Drosophila melanogaster: one gene and its partners. The protein of the gene in region 1 interacts with the protein of each later gene in a pairwise test. Each region holds a gene or a part of one and is shown on either strand. Other genes may lie near its edges.

Region 1 (8,555 bases):
AAATGTAACAATGAAATACAAATCCATTTGACTAACAAAAAGTCTTAGCCAGTTCTGTTCCTCGTTTATATGGGGGGGCTTGTTAGCCCCCCCGAACTATGGGGGTTTGCCACCAGGCTTCCGCCAACTTTGCGTTGTGCAAAAAGTCAAATGCGCTTATAACACTACACAATACGAAAGCCGCATTTTCACTAAGAGCTGCTGGTGCGGCAGATTCGAGTTTCAGTGCTGCCAACTGTCGATTTGCTGAATCTATGAAGCATGGGCTTTATCACTCATACGCATTGTTGATCATTACATAGATTTATCGAAACAGTAAGAATATGTCACAATTTAAAATAAATAAAAAAAAATATATAAAAAAAAGAATAAGATTTAGTTGATTAGCATATGCTTACATATTAGTATGTTTATATATTTATTTGTATAAATACATCAAGAAACTAATTTAATCAAGCAACAAATGGAAAAAGTTCCAACTTCTGTTTTTTAAAATTAAAAAAAAAAAAACCCCAAAAATGTCCCTAGCCAATTGGCCAACTCTGCAACTGGGCGGCGGTAGGGGGCTGAGCTCGGCGTGGGCGCTGGAGGGGTCACGGGGGTTAGAGTACCCCTGGCAGTGACAGCGATGGCGACAGTTGCACTGCAAACTGAGCTTACGACTGCCGGGCGACTAATTGGTTTACTTATGGCCTTTATTTTTTGCAGTTGCAGTTGTTCGGCCCGAAATGCCAGCAACACTTTTTAAGCCATAATTGCGGGGGTGGGAGGAGGGTGTTGTGGTGGTTTCGGTCTTTGTGCGAGGGTTGGGCGGTCTTGCAGGGGACTCCCCCGCATTTTCAGCGACTCAATTTTTCAGGGGAAGCAAGAGGCAACAAAAAAAAATATTGCGAACCACACACGAGTTAACAATCAATTAGGGTCCGAGTTTCCTGTGCTCGATTTTTTCTCTTTGTTCCCATGTTAACCTGTAAATTGCGCGGAGGCGGGCGCAGTCAAAGGGTTGTAGTATATACGAACATAATAACAATAATAATAACAATAATAATAATAATATTAATAATAATTATAATATGAATCATAATAATAAGTCGACTAATAAGTAAACTTAGGACCACCCTAATTCCTTAGGGTCACCCTAGTAGATCTTTAGATACACCCTAATACTAAATATGCGAATTCAGCATGTACGCCTTTAGGGGTCGCACTCGACTCCCATTGGTTATCGAGTATGAACTTCATACATACATATTGCAGAATTTGCTAGTGTCAGCACTTGGCTGTCACAAGAGATCTGCCTGTAGACCACACTAAGATCAGTTATAAATCAGGAATAGATCTGGAATGTAGACTCGCTTAATAAAAACCAAATAAAGATAAAATGACCAACTGCGTTTTGAGACTTTATTAACTACATCAGAAGTATTGGAATTCTAATTAACTACAGGGTTAAGGGGGCGTGGCAATGTCTGGGCTTATGTTTGCATTCGCCTTTAACCGTTAACCAGTCGCCTTTTGCCTTTGACGAAACTCCTTGCCCGCCAACAACAGCAAGTGATTACTTATTTAAAAACTCCATTAGAACCCGTTCAATATCGAGGGACGTTCGGGGGAGAGGATCTAGTTAAGGCCTAGGGTTAGGAGCTGCAAGGTATCAGCCATAAGTATATTGCCCACAAATAATGTTAGTCTTTACTGCATGTAAAATTCATAATTTCTGAAAATATGTAAAGTCCTCATTTTTGAGAATCTATGAAGCTAATTGAAATATAATTCCAATTACAATTTTGTGACGCACTGTAGCTATTATCGTTCTTATTGCCTTGAGAATTAATAAGTGTATACAAAAAAATAATAATATGCAGAGCAACTGTTATTTTTGCCCAGACAGCATTACATTTTCGCCACTCACTGTCCTTTCCACAGCTAACTCATTTCCCATTTTCCCATTAACTTGGGCAAATACTATGTCATCATCAAACAAGGCAAGAGCGAAGGAGAATCAACTGGGAAGCAGGCAGCTTCAAACTCAATTTGCTTAAATTTTAGCCCATAATGATTTCAGGTCCTGCACATTTTTTCGACTAGTTGCGATTAATTTCACTCTTCAGGAGTTAATTAGATTGTTATAAACTGAGGTACCCAATATTTAGATTTCGTTTTTTTTTTAAGAACTTGTATGTTTTATTATATATTAAGGTAGCAATTTAGCCTTGTACATCCTTCTCTATTTTATTACAACATTTTGTAACAGCAATCACATGCAATTAACTTTACTATTTAACAGATTATTGGAGCACATATAGCAAATTCATATTTTAAAAACATTTTGATGCATTAAAAAGCTTTCATGTACTTTTTATGATGCTTATATAACTTATAAGCTCTACCAAATGAGTCAGATCCATTATAAAAAGGGGTAAAAAGGCGAAGAAAAAAATCAATTAAGCCCTGATATTTGATATTATTTTTCCTCTGCGCTCTGTGGGACTATCTTATAAATCGCCGTTGCCATTCTGATGCGTTCGGCTTTGTATTTTATGCTGCTCCTCGAGTTCAGAATTTTCTATTTGGCGATTTGGATGGATGGTTGAGGTGGGGGAGGGGGGGGGCGCGTTCGGGGGGAAGGCAAACAGCTTTAGACACTTTAACACATTCCTCTGGGAATGAATACTCCGTGGAAGGAGCCACTACACACTCGCACACTCACACAGCCAGACATTTTAGTGGGCCTTCAGCATCGACATCGAAAAGTCTCGGACTTCGACTTGGACGGGGATAAAAAGGTGCACTGATAAAAAAGCATGGGAACTTCATGCCGAGTCTGGTTTTCGAGAAGCACATCCTCATTTTCATTAATTCATTTATCATGACTTTAATAGTTAGGTAATACTGATTAGGAAATCTTTTAGGCTTGCAGTCCACGTTGTGACGAAGCGCACCAAGATAGTTAAATCTACCGTGATGGTCTGATCACATTAAACCAAATGTTTTATATATCTCTTATTTCGTAATTAGTTTTTTCTTGCAGTGCCCGAAGGTAAGAGAAACATTTAGACGACTTTCCAAGACCGGTTCTTTTGGCTCTATGAACTCGCCTTCGTCCGCCTCGTACTAACTAGAACTTGTGGCCAAAATAAAAGGCAAACATAAAGCAGCAGCAGCTAGGCTAACAAAAAAAAAAAAACACAAAAAAAAGGCAAAACAGGGAAATGGTCAGCTAGTTGGCCAGTAGCACTTGGCCAACGGCCCTGTCCTTCTGCACCTTTCCGTTTGGACGGATTTATTTTAGTTAATAAGCGAAATCAGCGGAGGGCTGCTCAAATTGTTTGCATTTTTCGGTTGCTTAAAAGGTCCTTACATTCGTCAAGTAATGTACAAAAAATGTAATGAACTGGTATTCAAAGAACTTTGTTTTTTTTTTTGTAATACTTTTTCCCCTAATTCAATTTAACATTCTTTACTGCGTGTCACACACACATTTTTGACATTTATCGGTTAATATATCTAAGATTATAATATACAACTTTCCTTTCTATTCGTTTATGTTTCTTTGTGAAATGTAACAGGAAGAGTCAACCAAAGGGGCACTTTTTTCTTCATTCAGTTTGATGATTGGCCACACTTCTGAAATTCCTGAATTCATTTTTTAACAGCACCCTGCTGAAACTGCCAAAACATTTCGACAGTCCAGAATTCGTACATTTTTTGTTTCGGTAGCTTGATTTTTAGTTTGTTTACTTTTTGCTACCTTTTTGCGTGGCGGTTGTGTCTTTTGATGATCGATCAGCTTTTGGAAGCAATCAGGGAGCCAGGAAATCAGAGGACTCGTCACTTTCCACCACCATGTTGGCCAACTAATTAGATTCGCTCTGAATTCCCGGCTAATTGAAAGGTGAGCAGCGCGCTTGAACTTTTGGCACTTGCCAACTTTTAAGCTGTGCCAAAATGCTAGAAAAACTTAACGCTTTGAGATGGAAACTTCTAGCAAAGTACAACAAAAAGTAAAAAAAAAAATGGACAAAGTAATAAATTGTACAAACAAATAAACAAACAGTAAATCTTATCTGAAGGTTTATTAACGTATTTCGACAAAAACTAAATTATTTCCATGCTTTAAAAGTTTGGTTTTAAAGCTCTTTATAAAGCAACAACCAAATGCCGGCGATGAAATTTCGATTTCTGTGGCGTATAAAAACTGCAAGTTATTCATCTTAATTAAAAGGGATCCTAATGGCCAAGGACCAAACAAAGGATACAGCTAAGGGCGACGCGACAACATTTCGAGCCAATTGCTTGTGAGACAAAAGAGCCAAGTTATTGTTGTTAATATAAATGTATGTAGTGAGTCTGCTAAAAAGGGGAAACCTGCTCTCACCCAAAAATTGACAACTCTGAAATTTATTTGTATTTTAAGAAAGTGTCTAAAAAGAGATGTTCAGAAAATATAATATGTGAAAACTTTATATCGCGATTTAAGCCCTAAAGTTACAACTTAATATACATAAAATAAATTCACGTAATATTTTTCTTTTTTTTTCGGTCAAGTATATGATTTTCGATTTTTTGAAATTTCATGCCAATTATTGTTTAAAAAACACAGACAACGCTTCCAGTTCTAAGGAAAAAAATATTCAATTTTGGTGCACTACAAATACTTTTTCTGCCACTTTTATAACCCTTATTTAACTAATTTGCGAAATACTTTTCCATTCAAGTGCTAATGTTTTGGCGGCTTTTTCGTTTTGCGGTTTTCGCAGGTGGCGGCAGCTGCCACGTGACCGCAAATGTCCTGCGGCAAACGCATCCTTAGCTACTTAAAAAGCTGCACTTACGTTTTCAGCAACGATCGGTTGACAACGGCGCCGCAAATTCAATGAACTCGAAACTAGTTTGGCACATAAACAAAAATCGCAAAAAAAAAGAAGTGTAACGAAATTAAAGGAAAACCGCACACACACGCACACACAAAATGAAAATATAATATTTCACACTACTTCATTTTTTTCGTGGCTCTTTCTAAAAACTGGTAAGAATTGCTGGCCACCAGGTTGTGGTTACTGTTGTTTCTGATCGCGACTTAAAAACGACGCTCTTCGCAGGATTAGCGCTCTCTTCGAAGAGAGCCCCAGCAGAAGTTTAAGGAGAGGAGACGTCCTCGCGCGAGCAGCACCAAAATCCAACTGCGGCCGAATCCCACGGACGCAGCGACGTCCCCACGTCGACGACGCCGGCAGTGCCGCAAATGCAGTTTGCTCGCCACAGGCACGGAAAAAGAATTAATGCCCAAATGGCTTAGAGCTTGTTTTAAGTTAATGATTGAATGGAAGCGACGTTTATTGTGAACTTAGTATTGCTAAAAAGTAAGTGTAAGTAAGTAAGTAATTTAATTTAACAATGCACATCACAAACCATAAAATTGGTTTCAATCTTTGAAATAGCTTAAACATTATTTTATCAAAAAAACATAATTAGTATACATATTTTTTTAAGAACTTTGGTATTTTGAAAACATTTAATAGCTGCGCAGTTGTAGCTGCTATTGCTTTGACTGCTGCTGTGGACCTGAGCTAGTGTGCGAATGGAGTGCAGAAGGAAAGGAACAAGAACTGCCAGATGAAACAAAAACAAAAAACAGCTAAAGCAGCAACAACAACATGCTGATGCAGTGGAGCTGTAGTTGTATTTGTAGTAGGAGTTGGAGCTGGAATTGGAGTTTGGAGTTCCAATCAGACGAAAAGCAACTAGCGACGCGCGCGCTCTTTTCCGCTCTCTCACACACTCTCTCGTTTTCGGCACACTACTCTCGCTCTCCTTTTGCATTACGTATACGCCAAACAACGCAAAACTTAAACCGGCATTTTGTTAGGCGCACGTTTTGAGCCTCTACGAAGAGTGGGATCGAAGAAGGGAAGCGAGGGAGAGAGCAGAAAATGCTTCAGAACAGGTGCGGATCACTTTCAAAACGGTGCAGGGTATAGTTTATATTGTAGTTTACCTAATGCCCGAAAAAGTAGGCAATGTTTTATGGGAATACGGTTACCTGATTAATTTTGTTAGTTCATCAATCTAAGCCGATCTATTAGTTTTGTTACAAAAAAAATTAAGTCTGCTTGGTTCATAACTGCGATGATACGGAAAAAAAGTTTATACTTTTCTGTTTTCTCGAAATGATGGTCTAACTAATACTGAGTTAGAAAATCTTCGTTGGTTGTCATATATGCAGCCAACCAACTGAATCCGCTCCTGGCAACTTAGCATTTTCGCGCGTGCAGCAGGCAGTGCAACAACAGCAACCCCAGCGCCGGAGAAGAGTGCATCGGTTAGTGTGTGCGTGTAGGTGTGTGTGTGAGCTGCAGCTGGCAGCGAGCTTCCTACTTTATTACTGGTTTCCAACTTAATAAAATATGTGGAGCGCTTGATTTACTCTCAACAAGGATACGCAAGGGTTAAGAAAAGCAATGGCAGGCAGAAGAGGGTTAAAAAGAGATAAGCCAAAGAGAGCGACTTTCTTCGCCAGCTGTTTCGCCGAGCTTCTCCCGTTGCCTTTTGTTTTTGCCGCGCATTCGCCGGCTGGGATCTCTCTTTCCCTTTCTCACACTCTCTTCTGTTTCGGTGCCCCTCTCCCACCGTCTGGCCTCTCACTCATACGCCAGCTGTTGCTCCTTTAAGCGCCAGCGTACCGGAATGCACTTAAAAAAAGTGTGGCCTTGAACGTCTAAAAGCATTACAAATTTACTCATATATAACTTAAATGAATAATTAATATATAAAAATAAAGAACGTATAAGAATAATTAAAAATGGTTCTGCGAAATGAAATGTATTAATTTCAGTTTACATTTTCTTGCGCGAAATAGCACATATGCAAAATTCTTGTAGTGTAGCAACGGATTGCTGTACGTTCTGCTGTGTCTTGTAGTTTATTGCAATTTCTTATTAATAAGCGCCTTTTATGTGGAGCCGGGCGTTAGTGCCCTCCCATGGGCGACATTAACGTTAATAATAATAAAATGTGTAATTGCATACTGGGAAGAAGCAGAGCTGGCCAAGAACAAGAAGATGAAGGAGAGGGAGAAGAACATCAGCTTCTTCTTCCAACCAGTTTCGCAGACGTTGTAAGGCCCATCTTTTATCCTGAATTCTCTTTTTTTGCAGCCAGAGGTGTAAATCATTTTCTAATCGCAGCCAGCAGATCACATGCACACGCATCAACAAGCCAACACACATATAGAGGTACTCTGGACACACAGATACTTTGGACACACAGATACTCACACACACAGAAAGTGCAGTTGGACACTCGGAGTGGACTTGACTTTTGTTTTTGGCACTGCATTTACTTTATGTTTACGTTGTCCAGCTAAAACTTTCCAGCATTTTGATTTCAGCCAAAAGGACAATATTGTTGTCGTCGAGTGGGTGGAAAAGTGGGGTGGCGAAGGGATTTAAGGGGATAGAGGCGCCTGAACTGCAGCCAAAAGTCGAATGCAATCAAAGACGCAGCGGAAACAGAAGCACTTGCCAGGATGTCGGCGTAACCAGTGATGCAAAAGTGGCTTAAACCGATCTGAAAATAAATCAATTACAAAAAAAGACTACTGAAAATTACATGAAAATTTATATAAGTCATAAAACTAAAACGAAAAAGCTAGATAGATCATTAAAGCTATAAACTGAAAAACAAAATACAGCAAGACCCTTTAGATACACCTACTTTTGAATCATTTGAGATAACCTCTCCGTTTTCCTCTTTTTAAATAAAATAGTTCTTGTATTTCCCATGGAAAACCATAAAGTTATCGGCTACATTTGTGTGCAATGCGCCTGCAGGACAAAGTTCAATAAATTTATCAAATGATTCGTGATTCTGGCATTTTCCAATCGAAGTGGCTCGTGAAATTCGGAGAAAATCCGGTCTGATATGTCTTCGTTTGGCTGGGAAAACTTTCGCGTCTGGCAAAACTTTGCTCGTCCTTCTCGTGGCATTTTGTGTCTTAATTTCTGCATTATCCTGGCCATCTTAATTAAGCTGCCTGTCAGAAGGCGCCACGCCCACCGCCGTCTGCTCATTTGTTTGCCGCCATGTTTCGCGGGGTGTTTGGCATTTTCTTTTTCTTCGTATATATATTTTTTTGTTTTTAAGCTGGTCCTGGTACACACTGTACAGAACTTCCGGTTCCGGTGCCTGTGGCACATTGCGTATCCGCGGGCCACATTTCAACCATTGCCATTGTCCTCGTGAGTTTATTTGAATTTATTATACTTCCCCTGCTAGCTCCGTTTTTTATTTAATTTTTGAGCAGATGCAGCCAAGCGTAATAATGGTTGTTATTAACCCGGTGGTGTTGTGGAATATAATTGTACGTAGTAAAAAAGAAAATTTACGAATTGTAAAGTTAATTAAATATCAAGCATACGTAAAGAAAACTTCTGCTTAATGATCACGATCATACATTTTAATGATTTTAATGATTAGGTACATTTTCAAAAGTCGTTACTTATATTACGTATACGTCCTGTGTATCTTCAGCTTAATTTTTAGTGCCAAGGCCT
Region 2 (7,790 bases), on another chromosome or scaffold:
AGTTTTTTTTTGGTAAATTTCAAATACTTGTATAATACTTAATGCACTACAAATTCTGAGAATACATTTAGTTAGTAAAACTTCTCTTACTTGTAACTACCATCCACTCACTGTGCCGTGTGTGTATTAAACTAAATTTAGCGTCACTTTGAATTACGGCGCTGGCGGTGACGATGACTTGGTAGCCTTGGCAGCCGGGCCATTACAATGCAGAAGCCGGAATAGTCATGGGCTGGGAGTTTCGTGGGCAGGACGAAAAGAGTCCTGGCACAAGGACATCATGTTTGCAAATTTATGTAGTTGTACAATAAGTTGTGCCAAAGGAAATGCCATAAAAATGGGAAACAGAATTGTGCGGGCACCGAACAAGCCGGACGGACAGACAGACAGACGGACGGATGGATGGCTGGCTTGACAAGCTCGGACGCGTTTAAAGTGCAATTAGCGCACGTAATTGTAATCGGGTTGGCCAGGTGGCACCACCTGCCACAGCCCAACCACTTCCGGAAGGCGGTGACTCCGGCTTGCGGCTCCACCTTGCGTCTGCCAGCCCACGGGGTTGGGCATTTTCATTTTTTGTTGCTATTTCGTTTTGGCTGCCTTTTTTTTAAAGGCAACCAGGGAGCTGTAAATAAATTTGGCACTTAATCATATTTACGGATTTCGTGGGCACATTTATTTATGTGTCCCACAGTGGCCGCAGCTACTTACTGCACTTTGCCAGCAAGCATAGTGATTTTTTCCGAGGGCTAAGGATTTCTTCAGCCGGATGGAAACACAATACGGCCAAGTCCAATTTGGGGCCCATTCTCAAGAGTAGAGTCGGACCTGGGCTTTATGCCTAATTATGCGTTCCGCTGGCATTGTCATGGATAGCCGAAAATCCGAAATCCAAAATCCTCGCCGCCCACGAGGCTAATTAGGCCCATAGCGTTGGCCATTGTGCCAAACCGTTAGACGGGCGTATTGTTAACTCGAATCCACACCACCACGACTCATCATCAGCCACGGGGTTCACTCACCTGTTCACATCCGCTTTTTCTGGCTTTATGAATATTTCAGGCATTTAAGCCTTGGAACTGATTTATTTGCAATTTGATGGCCAGCGAAATAAATAAACCAATTTCGGTTTTCGGCCATGTTTCGCTGGATATGTTGCGGTCGCTGCGGGTTTTGTTTAATTTTCGTAAGTGTTGTACTCGATGTTTATGCATAATTTGCGGTATGTTTTGATCGGTTGCGAAGTAAACCGATAACACGGATTTGCCTGTTTTGAAATGTTATTAAAAAATAACAAATAAAAACAGACTTATTCGGATCGCTGCTTTTCAAAATAAACACTTTGAGTGAATCTACCTTTTTTTTTTCTCCGAGAAATTCATTACTCTGTCTCATCGCTCATTTCATCGATATTTGTCACTATTGTTGTGCCTGATTATTGTTAAGTGCAGGTGGGCTGGCGAAATGGAGCTGCGCGGCGAATGGGGAAAAACTGTCACTTGAATGCATTTTCATTACACCTCATTACATTTCACTTGCATCTGCAATTGTGTCATGTCGCCGGCTTTCGCTGCCGCTGCCTTCGAGCCTATGAATACGGGAATACTCGCAATGAAAACTGCCGAGCGAATGGATTCGTTAGCTGAATGGGCTGTGAGTGTTTTTAATTGAAAACAATAAAGTTCTGCTGGGGGAAACTGGGACTCCTTCCAAACAATGCATGAAATGTAGACGCTGCATCGTGCTGCATACCGCATTTCTAATGCTCTTCAAGTTTCTTAGAATCTGCTGTAGGCCTAGTACTAATATAATAAAGTTATCACAACAAGATATATAATTTTTTACAATACTTTCTTAAAAATATACATTAAAACCAATCCATTGAAACGTTCTACCTTTATTCAAGCTATATCTTCTCATAACTTGTTGGCAATGTATCTGCGATACCTTATATCTTACATTTAAGATACATTTACTCGCTGAGAAGAATCTCAGCTAAAAGCTGAGCATTCGATGGATTGTTCCACTCGCATTCTTTGTTTCGGGGAGAAATGCAAATGGAAGTGGAAATGGTGGAAATGGCGGTTATAGAGCCGCCGTAGATGGATAGATACGAGTCGTATTCGCGCCAGACAATACACTCGAATACAAAATGCGAATGCGAATGCGAATGCGAAAGTGATAATTAAAAATCGCGCCATATATACTGGTTACCAGATATGCTTGTTGCCGGCCGATTCTCTGCTCGTTGTTGTTTTCCCCGGCATGAAATGGTTATTGTTTATGATTTTCCAACGCTGTCGAGCAGGATGTTCGCATTGCAATCACCACTGGTTTGAGTGAAACAATCGATGTGGGTGTGGCATGTGAGCATGTGAATGAAGTGATCAATGCGCCTAACAATGATTGACGCCACTTCCCGCGACCAGGGGCGTCGCCGTGGCATGGGGGGAGGCGCCATGAAAGGGCTGTCGAAGATGGCGCGCTTTTCCACAGCCACGCCCCTTTCCAGCTCGACTGCAGCTGGCAAACAATTATGCAAAATCGCTGGCGTTAGCAGTTTTATGCAGAAATTAATTTTGCATTTTTAATTTTACAGCTCCAGTGGCGGGCGGGGGCTTTAAGCAAGGGGAGCCCAGCTAAAAACAAGAAAAAAAAAAACGCTGCGACAGCAATCTGCACTGCTCACAAAGGATTGATAAGGGTTAGACTTGGATGGTCGAACACTTAAAGAAAAAAAAAGCGAGTTTCTAGATATCTATATTTATGCAATAAGTTACAAATATCAAAGTATTCACATAAATTAGTATGTATTTAGGAAAATATATTCTAAACAGTATGTCTACATACAATATATCTAAAGTATATCATCTAAGGGATAACATATATAATAGTATAATAAATTGGATCAGGTGATAATATGATATTCGAACATATTACGCAAGGCTTCTTGTCATTTCTCAGCTAATTCTTAAATATCAAACAGCAAATATAAGCAAACAGCTTAAAAACTTAGAAAAATATAGTACGTACTTCCTTTTTTTAAGTGTAGCTATGTAAACATCACGCGTTATTTAATCTGGTCCATCAATTTGGCCACGTACCCCTGAGCGTGGGCTTCTTGCTCACCGCCCTAATCAGGCACATCATTCCGCAATCGGAAGACATAGTGGTAGGTTGCTCAAGATGTTCCAAGCGGACCGCCGAGATTTGCCCAGCCAACCGCTTAAGTTGGCTCTGCCAAAGGAGCAGGATCAGTCGCGCCTGGTTCAGGTTCCCGATCCTGATCGTCGGGACATGCAGTTTCCAGACATTTGGCTGCGCGATAATTGCCGCTGCGAGGAGTGCTATCTGCCACAGACACTGAGTAGATTGCCCCAGCTGTGGAACCATCTGGACACCAGTGTGCGGGTCCTGCGGCAGAGCGTGGACGTGGACCAGAGGGTCCTGTGTATAGAGTGGTCCGATGGACATACCTCCCAGTATCCGTTCAGTTGGCTGAGGGAGCGGGACTTCTCATACGCGAATCGCCAGCGTTACCTGCGTGACTTTTACCGCCCGGAGCAGAAGTTGTGGAGCGGTCTGGACTTTGAGAAAATCCGTCAGGTGTTCTACTACCAAGAACTGCTCGATTGCGATTCGGCGTTGCAGCAATGGCTCCAGCATCTGGCAGTTTACGGAGTGGCCATGGTCAAGGAAGCCCCTCTCGATATGGACGTCCTTCGGAGATTGTCCAACCGAGTGGGCTTCATGAGGCGCACCACCTATGGAGAGGAGTTCAGTGTTCGGGCTCAGCCTGGAGGCAGCAACTACGCCTACTTGGCCGCACCACTCCCGCTACACACGGATATGCCCTACTTTGAGTACCTGCCCGGAGTGACCATGTTGCACACCTTGGAGCAGTCCGCGTCGCCCGGGGGTGTCAATCTGCTGGCCGATGCCTTCTATGTGGCGGAGGTGATGAGGGAACGCTATCCGGAGCAGTTCCGGGTTCTTTGCCAGACTCCCGTGGACTGGGCGGACATCGGAAGCGACGGCGATCTGCAGTTTCACAATATCTGGAGGGCACCGGTCATCAAGTGAGTAGATTTAGATTGGGAGTCCAGTAAAGGAGATTTATATTGATGGAGTTCCTTTGATTGCTTAGGGCGACTTAAGAATACATTTAGGTGCAGTCAGACTATAAAAATGCTTATTTTGAGTTCATATTTTTCAAGCAAATTCTGCACTTTTAAAATCTATTTTTCTCGCAACTTGAAATGTTTCAGTTATCTTGAAAAATATTTCAGATATTTTTAGGTGGAGGTAACAATTTGTTGACGAGGGGAAATGCATAGTTGCCCCAGCAGAACTTGGCTAACATTTCGATCTCTTGCAGCTTGGACGCGGAGGGCCGGTGTGTGCGCATCAACCACAGCATTCCGCAGCGCGACAGCCACTTTAGCGTGCCGGTGGAGCAGGTGCGTCCGTGGTACGAGGCGATGGCCACCTTTGTGGGCCTGGCCCACGAGCACTCCTGCAGATTCAAGACCACGCCCGGCGACGTGCTCACGTTCGACAATTTGCGCCTGGTCCACGGACGTACCGGGTACGACGACACGGACCGCAATGTGCGCCACATTCTGGGCGCCTTCGTTGACTGGGACATTGTGTACTCGCGCCTGAGGGTCCTGCGGAATGCCAAAGCCACCTGATGCTCCTTAGATAGCAGGAGCAGCAAGCACATGTTATGTTATGGCTACATTAATTAGCCATCTATCAATGCCAAAATGCTTTGATTGACATCGCAATGTGGTAGCAATAGACAGAGTAGAATCATTAGATTACTTTCGAATTTATTGTGCTCGAGAAATTAAACCATTTATTGACATTTTGAATAAATACTATTTTAATGGTTTCTAATCCTTTGACACGCTTCAATGCTAATTGACATTATTTAATTGGGTTAAACGTGTGATTTAAGGCATTTTGAAGAGGAAGAAGAAGTCACTCGAGAAGTTTACTAATCTGTTAAACGTGAACATCTCTGGCTGATAAGTAATTCTATTAGTTTCGCTACCCTGTAAGAAAGTGACATAGGAATATTAGACTATACGCTGATATTCAAAACTATAAAATGTATTATTCATTCGTAAATATATAGGTAGAATTTTGGAGACTACTATAAGTATTCAATTCAACAAAAATTGGAAAATATTAATTTAATTTAAAATGGTAAGAGTATAAATTGCTTCATGAGCAATATTAGATAACCTAACCTAAATTACAGGGTATGCAGGCAAATCCGTGATTCAACAACTGCTAGCCAAACAGGCCACTGGAAGTGAAAGTCCAGCACACGTCATTGTTTACGCCGGGCAACAAAGTGGCTTATCAGTGGCCAGTTGAGTCAAATTTCAACCAGTATGTCCATATATATGTATATGTACAATAGGTATATATTTCTATTATCAATTTATGGCAATGCCCAGATCAACACCGACTTGGCAGAGCTCTTAGCTCTTGGCATGCGAGTAAATCACACCCACACACCTTCATGATTTTCATTGGACTGGGAAAACTTGGCTGGAATGTCGGGGTGTTTTCCCTTCGCTTTTCTTTTCGGGTGTTTGGGTGCGGTGTCCCGCAGGCAAATCCTTTGGAAATCTTTTTATTTATGTCATTGATGCCACCAGGACCAAGTGAGGTAGCAGAGGAAGCAACCCGGCATCCGACAGCCAGCAGCCGGAATCCGAAATCCGAGTTGGAGCACATGAATTTGTACATGGCATCGGGTAAATCCCTCTAATAATCCACATAATAAGCACTGGAAGTAGCTGTGGCAGCAACAGGCCGAAAGGGTTGTGCCCCGTTTCCCTTGTTTATAAGTTCATAAAAGTCAACGGGCCGGGAACTTCGAATGGGAGACGATTGGGGAGGGGGCAGGCCATAAAAAACGAGCCAAATGCAAGCGGAAAATGCCCAAGAAGAAAGAAAGGCAACCAGTCGCAAATCCAATTTCTTCGGAATGTGTGCGAGTTTTCGGGGTAGTTGAAATTTTACTGCAGTTTCCAGCCAGACCGTGCAGCAGTCATAATGTGTAATTGAAAACCTGCTCTGAATCGCACCCCTGGGTGGTGTACCATATACCTCTTACCGACTTAAAAGGATACCCCTAATTGGCCAAATGGTCAACCAAGACAGGAAGTGTGTGAAATTCTCAGGTATCTTGATGTCATTTAGAAAATAATAACCTAAAATGTACGAACCTTTATAAAGAGGTAAAATAATTATATTACAAATGAAACAAAACTACGGTTATGTTGCTTATGTTAAACGCAAGAAATCAGTCTTGTGATTGAAGACAAGCCTAAAACTTGACGAAATATTAAATTATATACTCCATATTTGAAGTTCAGTGCACTTATTTTACTTTGTAATTGAAAACTTCAATCTCCATAATTCGTTTAGAAAACACACATCCTTGACCCGCGTTGTGTCCTTATCTACATTTTTCCGATCTGCCATGAAAATGAGACCCAATTTGCAACCATATGCATGATCATAATGACCCCCATATTATATGTTTTTTTTTTTTTGGCTAAAGCAACAGCATTTGGGAATATTTCAATGGCAGAGAAAGGGTTTGCCAGCATGACACTCGCACAATCGCCAAACTAATACGCTTACATACGATTTCCACAATTTCCGCCGCGGCTTCTTGGCCGCCATCCTATTCCTATTGGGATTGCGGTCGGGTTTGTGTGCCAAGATTTTGGCCAGGACAATGCCAAGTTTGGGCTGTCACAATGATAAACATGCGGCAATTGACGCAATCATTGTCTGTCCATGAATTGAATTAAATCAACTCAACTCAGCTCGACTCGATTCGACTCGACTCGAGTGGGTGGCCCATCATCGTCGCGCTGACACTTGCAAAATCAGCGAAGGACATCTGTATTTTCTAGCCTGTGATTCTCGAAAATTAATGCCTTCGTTATGCTTGGCGTGCCATCGAAATCAAGCCACAACTATGGGTTACAGCGAGTGATTGTCATTGCGAAAGGAATGGTCTCGTGGTGAACATGGGTTAAGGCTGCCTCCTTGGGTAATGCCCCATAATTCCGATTCCGTTGCAGGACAGCGCATTTTGCTTATTAGAATCCGCTTGTGCTGCTCTCGTCGAGGATGTGAGCTCCTTGATGCCGCTGGAGGGTAATAAATTCCCGTTCGTCCTGGCAGACCCTTCGTCCTGGCAATTTCCAAGTTTATCACCAACGCGCGTCTGCAACTTATGTCGTCTTTTTCCGCTCCCTCGTCCTGCATCCTGTGTCCTTCGTCCTGCTCCTGTTTGTCTGCACGTCTGTTGTGGTTATGTGAAATCACATCGTAAAAATGTCCAGGTCCAAATGCTTCTCCTATGTGTGTATGTAGCTGTGTCTTGTTGTGTGTGGGAGTGTGTTTTTGGCCCAAAGCCCATAAGTCCCGCCTGTCTCACCTGAGTTTTTCGCGGTAGATGTGGGGTGGTTGGGGCGCGCAACCCTTTCGCCATTCAATTTATAGACGCCGACCATATAAATATTTATTTCTATGTGCAGCTGCCAGCTTCTTTGCTACAGCTGCCTGCTGCCTGCCGCCTGCCCCTTTGACACCACGCCGTGGCATCATTATTATTTTTATGCCCGCGTCTTAAAAGCATTCCGCCGATCAATAAACCAGCCATCCTGCATCCTGCATCCTTTCCAATAAGCGAAAGTGGTTTTTGAGCCGCCACAGTACTTGTGCGTGTGTGTGTGTGCCATCAAACAATT
Region 3 (8,451 bases), on another chromosome or scaffold:
TTGTGTGTGAGTTTGTGTTGCGGCCATTGTTTAGTTTGGCCAGAGCTGACAGATTGCCATTATGGTGGCCGCTGTAGCCGTTACTCACTGTTGGTTACCACTTATTGCTGATGCTGCACGCTTCCGCATTTGTGCGGCTGCTAAACTGCGGCTTCAATTGGAATGCCAGGCAGCCTGTCCTTTGTCACTCCTCGTATGGATATGACCCTCAATATATTTGTGTAGCCCGCTCCTCGTTATCCGAGCTCATTTTGCCTCGCAGCTCTGAATGCCAAAGTTCAAACGGTGGCTCAACGGCCCGAGTAGAAGGGATCCCATCCCGTCCCATTCTGATTTCATCTTCCTGTCTCCGATTTTCGGGACCCATGTGCGCCTTGCGAGAACTTCGCTTCGTTTGCTACGCATTTGTTTGTGTATTTGGGCACACGTCTATTTGTGTTCCCTGTCGGGCCTACTATACATACTGCCAAGGACAAGGACGAATCCGAAGGATTTGCAACCTCCTCACATGAGCGTGTGTGTGGGTCTCTTTGAGTAGCTTGTGTTTGCTCAACTGCGGCGAGGGCGGCAGTTTCTTGAATAATGCAAAATAGTAGCATCAAATAACGGCACCAAAAGTGACTTAAAGTTTTAATGAAAATGCCATGCTCAGGCAAACATCCCCATTCCCCCCTTCCGAGCCATTACGGCCCCTAAGATTCATACATTAAATTTTAAGTGGCCTTATAGCAATGCGCCGTAGTGCATATTAAATATATCCATAAAATAGGAACCAGCTTCCGCCACCATTAAACCTGGAAATTTTCAAATAATAATTGAATTCGACGCTTCAATTCAATTTAACAGCGAGCAAATTGGCGTTTTGAGCCGAAACTTTAGCTGTCATTTGGGCCCCGGAATTTATGGTCAAATCTAAGATCCCAACTTGACCGAAAATTGTAGCTGCTTATTGATTGAGCCATTTATGTGGCCCACAGAACTCAGCGAGTATCTGTGGATTCCTGTCTGAGACCCATAAACCGAAAGTCCAATGACCACAAACTTTTGCCAAGATGCGGTCCAATCCGGTCACTTGGCCGAAACAAAAATGGTGGCCCAAAATCTACTTAACTTGAGGTTTTCATGTGGATTATTTACAGGTGGGGCCAACCTATTTACCTGCCGAGCAAGAGCATTGCTCATCTCGTATTGCCTCATGCGGTTTACTTTGTTGGAAAACATTTACACAGCTTTAGCATTTCTAATTTCCCATTCATCAGATCTCTGCCATCAATAAACAATGATACTGTGCTCCATTTGAGTTGGCATTTGTCAACCACAATAATGGTGACTAATCCCAAGGATTAGGCATCCATATGACACATTCATGGAAATGCAGTTTGCAGCTTACAATTTGACTACGTTCGAAATGCAGGGGCACCTTGCACAATTTCAATAAATCAGAGGCGTGTCGAAATGTTCGACTTTTCGATGATTGATGGGCCAGTTGGCAGGGGTGTGCCCCCAACAAGCGCCCCAAATTCGGTCAATTAGTCAAACCGAAAGCGTTTTGCGATGCGAAGCTAGTCCTTGCCATCCCGAACTAATTAAAACACGCTGAGCAAACTCGATGGTTCCAGGGATGGGGATTGCGATTGGGCTTGGGTTTCGCATTTCGTATTTCGGGTTACGGGTTTCGGGGAGTGCTGGTAATACAGCACGTGCTACCGGGATTAGCGAGGTCGAGACGTTTAGTTTGTGTTATTGATGGGCGGGGTCGAGCCACGCCCTTTGCATACAAATTCACGTCCGTCGCCGGAAGGTCAGCGGTAATCGAGTGTGACAAACAATGCGAAATTTCGGCAGGTAAAATGTGAAGCGTGTCCAAAAATCGGTAAATACATGTGAGTTCGCAAATGAATCATTCGCATTTCAACTTAATTTAGTGTGATTAGCCATCAGGATTCCCGCTGCAGACAATGGCTTATGGTAATTGCGATGAGCTCGGGTGGCAAGAATGATTGGGAGAGAGTCAGCCAGAGCCATTGTTCATGGGTTTTATATACGTACATATGATCTCATCCTCGTGACATAAAACCATCTAAGCCACTGAGCATGACCAAATACTCAGTGATCTTTTCCTGAGCTCCAAAACTTTGAACCCATTCATAATTTCAGTGGCTGTGTATCTAACAATTGCTGCTCATTAGTCAGCGGATATTAAAATCGCTACTTAGATCTAAATGGCACACGCTATTTTGTCTAATTATACTTGTTTTTATGAACTCATTTGTGGTTTCACGGCTTGACAATGATATTATAATTATACAATTAGAAGGCAGCTTCTTTAAAAAATAAAGTTTAATTGAACAACAAATGTGTATGTGGTTGGAAAAAATATAACTAGGAATCATAAAATATTAAAAAAAAAAATGGATTTGTTTGCTTATTTGGAAATCGCAGTTCGTTAGCTAAGTTACTCATTTTCATCACTAGAGCTTTAACTCAACACCTAATCAATCTAAAACCATTAATTTGTCGTTTTAATTATACGAATTTGCTGAATTTCTTCGATCAAATTACACTTAGACACGATGGAAACTCGAGTTTTAATTGACGACTTCTTAGGTGCTCGAAATTTCCTGGTATTCGAATGAAAACTGAAGGCCGTTGACAGCTAGAGTGATGTTTAGTGCCAAAAAAAAAAAAAAAAACACACACACAAAGAACAGCTATTAAATGGAGTATGCAAATAGTAGGACTGGTTTTGAATTCGATTACGTCAGAGTTTCAGTAAACTGCTGCATGGCATAAACCGTAGTTCTTACTATTTACTGTATGCAAATAGAACTTCTAACGAGTTTGCAGTGCATAAAACGAGGAATTTCCCGGCTTCCGTATCTCAGTAAAATATGATTTCACTCACCGCAGTTGTAAGTGAGTAAGAGGAGTGACAAGCCACAAGGGTCGTGGGAAATATAGTATGTGATCACCCAACCTCAATTCTCGACGCGTGCCTGTGGCTTTGGGCTTAAAGAAAATTTAATACAAGCCAAGTTAGACTGGCCGAGCAATTTGTTAGCTCGTGCAACATGCAATTAAACGGTTGCCGCTGCTTTTATATATATCATAGTATGCCTTAATGGGTAATTATTTTCTTTATAAATAACACTTGCGTTCTGGAAAGTGACCACGATGAGCCATGGGCAAGTTTTAAAGACTCAAGATTCATGACCCGTGTTTGAGCAATGAGTAATATCAGTGGAAGCCCAGGTATTTTGGAAATCCCAAAGTCTACGACTGATAAGGCTAAGACGACGTCAGCAAGCTGCTAAGGGGGAATATTTCAACAGAAAAAGAATAAAGAGGAGTAAAGTCAACAATTAAATACGGCTCAAATAAAAATGAAGCGTAAACTAAAGACAGGGTTCCCCTTCTTAAAGACGTCTGAACTTGAATCATTTGTGGACCAAAAGGGCACACACACAAGTGTAGGCACCCACACATTTGTGTAGACACGTGCAGAGCTTTAATTATGTGCGAAGCGAAATGTATCTTACAGATACTTTCAGCTCCAATGAAGACAATGAGCGGCACGACGACACGTTTCGTTTGCTGTTGGTGAAATTATGTGCTCTTAGTCTCAGACTCGTTCTCAAAAAAGCAGCAAAAGCCCAAAGACAAACAGCATATTTGTGCCCAGACCCCCGCACCGAAAAGCTTACATATGTCGGCTTTTTTTATATATTTCATTTTGTTTGCTTTGTGTTTTGTCAAATTAGCAAAAACTGGTTTACGCAGGTACTCTGCTTAGCTGGAAGCGCGAGGAAGAGCAGCGATGGGAAACTTTGGGGCCAAAAAGACAAACAAAAGCCGTTTTGCTCATTAGCCGTCTCTCCTCCGCTCGGCAGTCAAACAAACTGTGGGTTGTCGTTTTCGCTGATATCAGTGGGTTGGGTGGGAAGGTCGAAAGAGTTTCTAGTCCCGCCGCCATCCGACCGCCCAACCCACCAGCCCACCGCCCCAATTTATCTACCGAATAAGTGATACTGATGTAGTACATCATCAGCTATGAACTGTCGTCAGTTCAGTCGACCAGCCAGTGAAACAGAGCAAGCGGCTTACTTGTGAAGGGTCCTCAGCCTCGAGATATGGGCAAAGATCTGTTACAGATCCAGTTTGCATCCCCACAGTCAGAGAAACGAGTTTAACTGGCTAAAAGATGTGTTTTCCCACCTAAACGGCTGTTCTGATCAATGACAATGGGCATTTCTCTATAATTGTTAAAGGCTTTTCATATTACCATATTAGCTCGCAGCGCCAGTACTTCGATTATTGATTTGTTGTTACCTAACATATAATCAAGTATAAGCCATTTGCTAATGACATTAAAATATAGGTGCGTAAATAAAAAAATCTTCAATGAAATTTATTTGAAATGTGTATATATTCATTATTAAAAAATTTTGAATATAACAAAACTACCAAGTATTATTCTTATTATAAAAATTAATATGACTTTCGAGGGAATGTGCAACATTCTTTCATAAATTTCGCATCAATTGCTCAACAACGAATTAAAAATGTTATCATGAGAGTGTTTTACCATAGGCGAATAGAAATAATCTCTATTTTTTAAAGTGGCGTTATAAAGAAATAAAAATTTTTACTTTACTAAAGCAAGCACGCATTCGAAATATGAGGTAATAAGAAACACCATTAATGTTATCTTGAAAAAAAAAAAATTCTATAAAAATTTGAATATTTAGCAATCCGGCAAAAACCGAGGGCAATATCGAAGTACTGAGAGGGAGAGGGATAAATAACACAAACACGAATTAAATGCGATTTTTTCAGAAATTGCTGCACTGGCAAAAAGCACAAAAGGCCAACTGGTCGAGAGCGAGTCGATAAACATTGGCCGAGTTTGCCAAGCCGCTACCGATACGCCAATCATGAGGCGAAACGCTCGCAAAGCTCATGCCTCACAGATATGGATATGTAGTTGCGATCGAGCGCAGATGGAACAAACAGATATGCTGCGATCTCGAGATACAATAATTTAACTTCAAAACTTCGCACTGGATGAACAACAGTTCTTAGAGAGCCTTTCTATGTTTCTCTTAATTTCATCATTTGACACATGTATTTTCAGTTCAATTGGCGTTCTGTTTATTCTAAAGTTATTTCGGCGCGATGTATGTACTTATATATCTACATATACCAGTGTATGCGTTATATGTATATATTTCGTTTGTTATTTTGCCTTTCTTTGATTTTATCATATATTGTGCTCACTTTTGTTTGTTTTTTCTTTTTTCGTTTTTTGTTTTGCTTTTGTTTTTTATGTTTTTCTCGCGGATCGCGATACAGCAGTGTTTACCGCCAGATTTTCGACTTTGCACTGATGATATTCCTCTTGGCATTCGACTATATGTATAAACTTCGAGCCGAGCAAAAATTAAATAAGCAAATAAGAGCGAACGAGCTGTGTACTCTTTGCCACTCTCTTAAGACAACAATACATCCATTGTAATGCCAGCACCAGACTCATACCAGTTATTGTGATTACTACCGAACTGCTCAAAGTCTTTGCATGTGGATACGTCACGATCGGCGTCAGCGGCCAAAGTCCTTGACCGTAGTAATTTCAGAGACAATTAGAGTTTTCCAAACACCCACAATGCGGGTTCCTTGTGCCGGAATTATGATTCACAGCTGGAAACTGACAGTGCACTTTCCGCATAAGGGCACGCCTCTGTCTGAATCCACAGATGGCCGGGTTTCCAATTAGAATGTGCATCCAAATCCATATAGATGTAACGCCGACTAATTCGCCGCGTTTCAAGTCACCACCAGAATCAGCCATCAACGAGCCCCTTCTGTACTGAGATATGTCACGTTTTGCATGACTTTACGGACGCAGAAACAGACTGACAATGACGAATGCTAATTGCACTTTTCGCCATCTCGACGAAATGCTCATTAAACGGCTCTCAATTGAGGCTGGAGTTTTCCCATTCGTTGCCATAATGGACGTCGTGAAAATGTAGACCCATCGACCAATAAAAACCGAAATGCAAATGAACACACTTTAATGTTTCTTTTAAATTAAAATTTTGCAAGAGGTTTTATGACGCCATTGGAAGTCAACAATTTTTTGAATTTTGTCGTTACTTGAAAATGTTCATTAAACGCTATGGATTCTTACTACTTTTCGTTACTACATAATCATAAGTTTTAATTTTAAAATAATCGAGACTTGAATTAGTTCTGTCATACACAAGCTCCACGTGGTTTAATAAAATACTATTTATATAAATTCTTTCGTTAAAAAATTATTATTTTAATTATTGGTTCAAATACGTACGTTTACGTTTTATAAATCATATTATATTTAATAAGGAAACAATTTTATATACAAAATTTTGCAGTTAAAGTAAATAAATCATTTTTGAAATAATAATAATAAGAAAAGTAATTGAAATTAAGACGATTTCCAAAATAGTCCTTATACAATTTTTTACCTTGCCTTGAAAGAAACTAACGAAACATCCAGTTCTATTTGGTAAACATATTTTCAAATATCCCCCAAATGTAAATTGTAAAAATTACATGAGTTCAAGGCCTCTAAAGAGCGACGCAAACAAATCGATCATAAAACAGATGCCTTATGATAGTGGACGTGGTGCTCCGGTTAGCGCGATCTGCTGTATGCACCACCAAAAAGTTTTGCGACGTGGGTTCGATTCTCGCCGAAGCCAGAAGCCCAAGGAAAAAATTAAATTAGTGACAAAAATCTATTTTTAATCAAATGTGGCGCGTACGATGCGATTTCATCATGGCATAATAGTTTGACTTTTCCATAGCCGAACAATTTCCGCATGAATCGCAGATTAATTAAGGGTTAATGCGCGTGTCTACTGAAATTCCGATTATGAATGACAGTGTTTCGTGCAATTTCCGTACAATTAACTACTATATATTTACGTATTTTGTTTTATCACTTAATTTATACAATTTTTTTCGCCATTCAGCAACCACAAACTTCGTGGGCAAGTTCACGCAGAGTGTGCGCCGAATCGTGCAGGATGTGAAGGACGAGGGGGCGCCCAGTGGAATGACGCGGGACGAGGTGATCGAGACGAACGAGCGCCTGCGATCCTTGCGCCTTCGCCTGGAGGAGTCCTACGAGACCGCCAAGAAAGCCCTGATCAACCTCATGAACAAGTACGGCGACTCGAAGAGCCAGCGCAACATCTTTCAGCGCTATCCCATGCTCAAGCTGATGATTAAGGTCAGTAAAAAGGGTGTCATTAACCCTCCGTTTAAGAAGCTAATGCTATATATATAATACCAACCACAGGAAGTCATCCGCCTGGAGACCCAGTACTGGACACTGGTGGACATCCCGCGGCAGGAGAAGCAGGAGACGGTGCCCTCTTACGTGATGCGGGCCTGCTCGATCATGGAGAAGACCCAGAAGTCCGGCGAGGGAGTCAAGACCTCCGCCCGCCTGGCAGAGGAGGCGGCAGAGCGGCGGGAGCGGATGGAGCGATTGGAACGTAAGTGAAGTCAGCCTCCTGTCCAATGAAAAGAGAAAACTATTTAAGATAAATGTACTCGTAGATATGACAACTGCGCAAATCGAACACGAGAATACGCAGCTAATAAACGACTTGTATCGCTTGCTGAAAAAGTATCTGGGACTGCGACACCTCATCCGTGTGTTGAAGGTGAGTGGCATCCGGTGGAAAGTTCACATTTTATTCTAATCCGTATTTGAACACGCAGGAAGAGTACGGCAGCTCAAAGATGTATCCGATATTTCCACGCTACACAATGCTGAAGGACATGATAAAGGGCATCATGCACGATCCGGACTACATGGAGGTGTGCCATGAGACACTGGCCAACGCCAACTGAGCCGAGGGCACTGGAAATGGCAGGCGTCGCATGAGTGTCATTTGAGAGGGCCCAAAAACTAATAGCAATACCAATACAAGCAGCAGCATACACGGTCGCAGGACCCAGGATTAGAGTCCTGCGAAATGTGTATGCATATGTGCTGTTTTCGCATGCGAATTTTCAAGAGATTCCGAAATGATTTAGAGCTTTCCGAATAGCTTCTTCAAAACTCCTCCGCCAGTGGAGCGGGTTCCTCAAACCTCTTTCGGCCCTTCTTTTAGCCAACACTCAAAGGCAAGCCAAGACAAACTAATCAACTAACTAACCAACTACTAACTGAGCCCAGACCCCACCACCCACCACCAACTAAACAAGGAACTATTTACACTACATTATCAGATACAAACACTTCGGCACTGAAGTGCCAGCAAACAAACTAAAAGGCATTTATTTTAATGAACTTTTGAGATGAATACAGTGTTATACCTACAAAAATACAAAATGCAAAACACAAGATATTTACTGATAAAATAGTGAACGATGCGCTCAAAGATGATGAACGGA

What was found.
Region 2: the proteins of CG43658 (region 1) and CG10814 interact in a two-hybrid assay, tested with the Drosophila melanogaster proteins (one large-scale study listed by BioGRID).
Region 3: the proteins of CG43658 (region 1) and hdly interact in a two-hybrid assay, tested with the Drosophila melanogaster proteins (one large-scale study listed by BioGRID).

What each region holds. Positions count from the first base shown.
Region 1 is NC_004354.4:17,555,994-17,564,548, forward strand, and holds the start of CG43658 (uncharacterized protein), read right to left. Parts: upstream 5,188-8,555; 5' UTR 4,836-5,187; intron 1-4,835.
Region 2 is NT_033778.4:13,373,085-13,380,874, reverse strand, and holds CG10814 (uncharacterized protein), read left to right. Parts: upstream 1-3,143; 5' UTR 3,144-3,186; coding exon 3,187-4,079; intron 4,080-4,378; coding exon 4,379-4,694; 3' UTR 4,695-4,900; downstream 4,901-7,790.
Region 3 is NT_033777.3:20,911,235-20,919,685, reverse strand, and holds the start of hdly (hadley), read right to left. Parts: upstream 5,391-8,451; 5' UTR 5,278-5,390; intron 1-5,277. Other genes in the region: CG31191 (uncharacterized protein), read left to right, coding at 7,017-7,276, 7,346-7,544, 7,609-7,715, 7,774-7,905.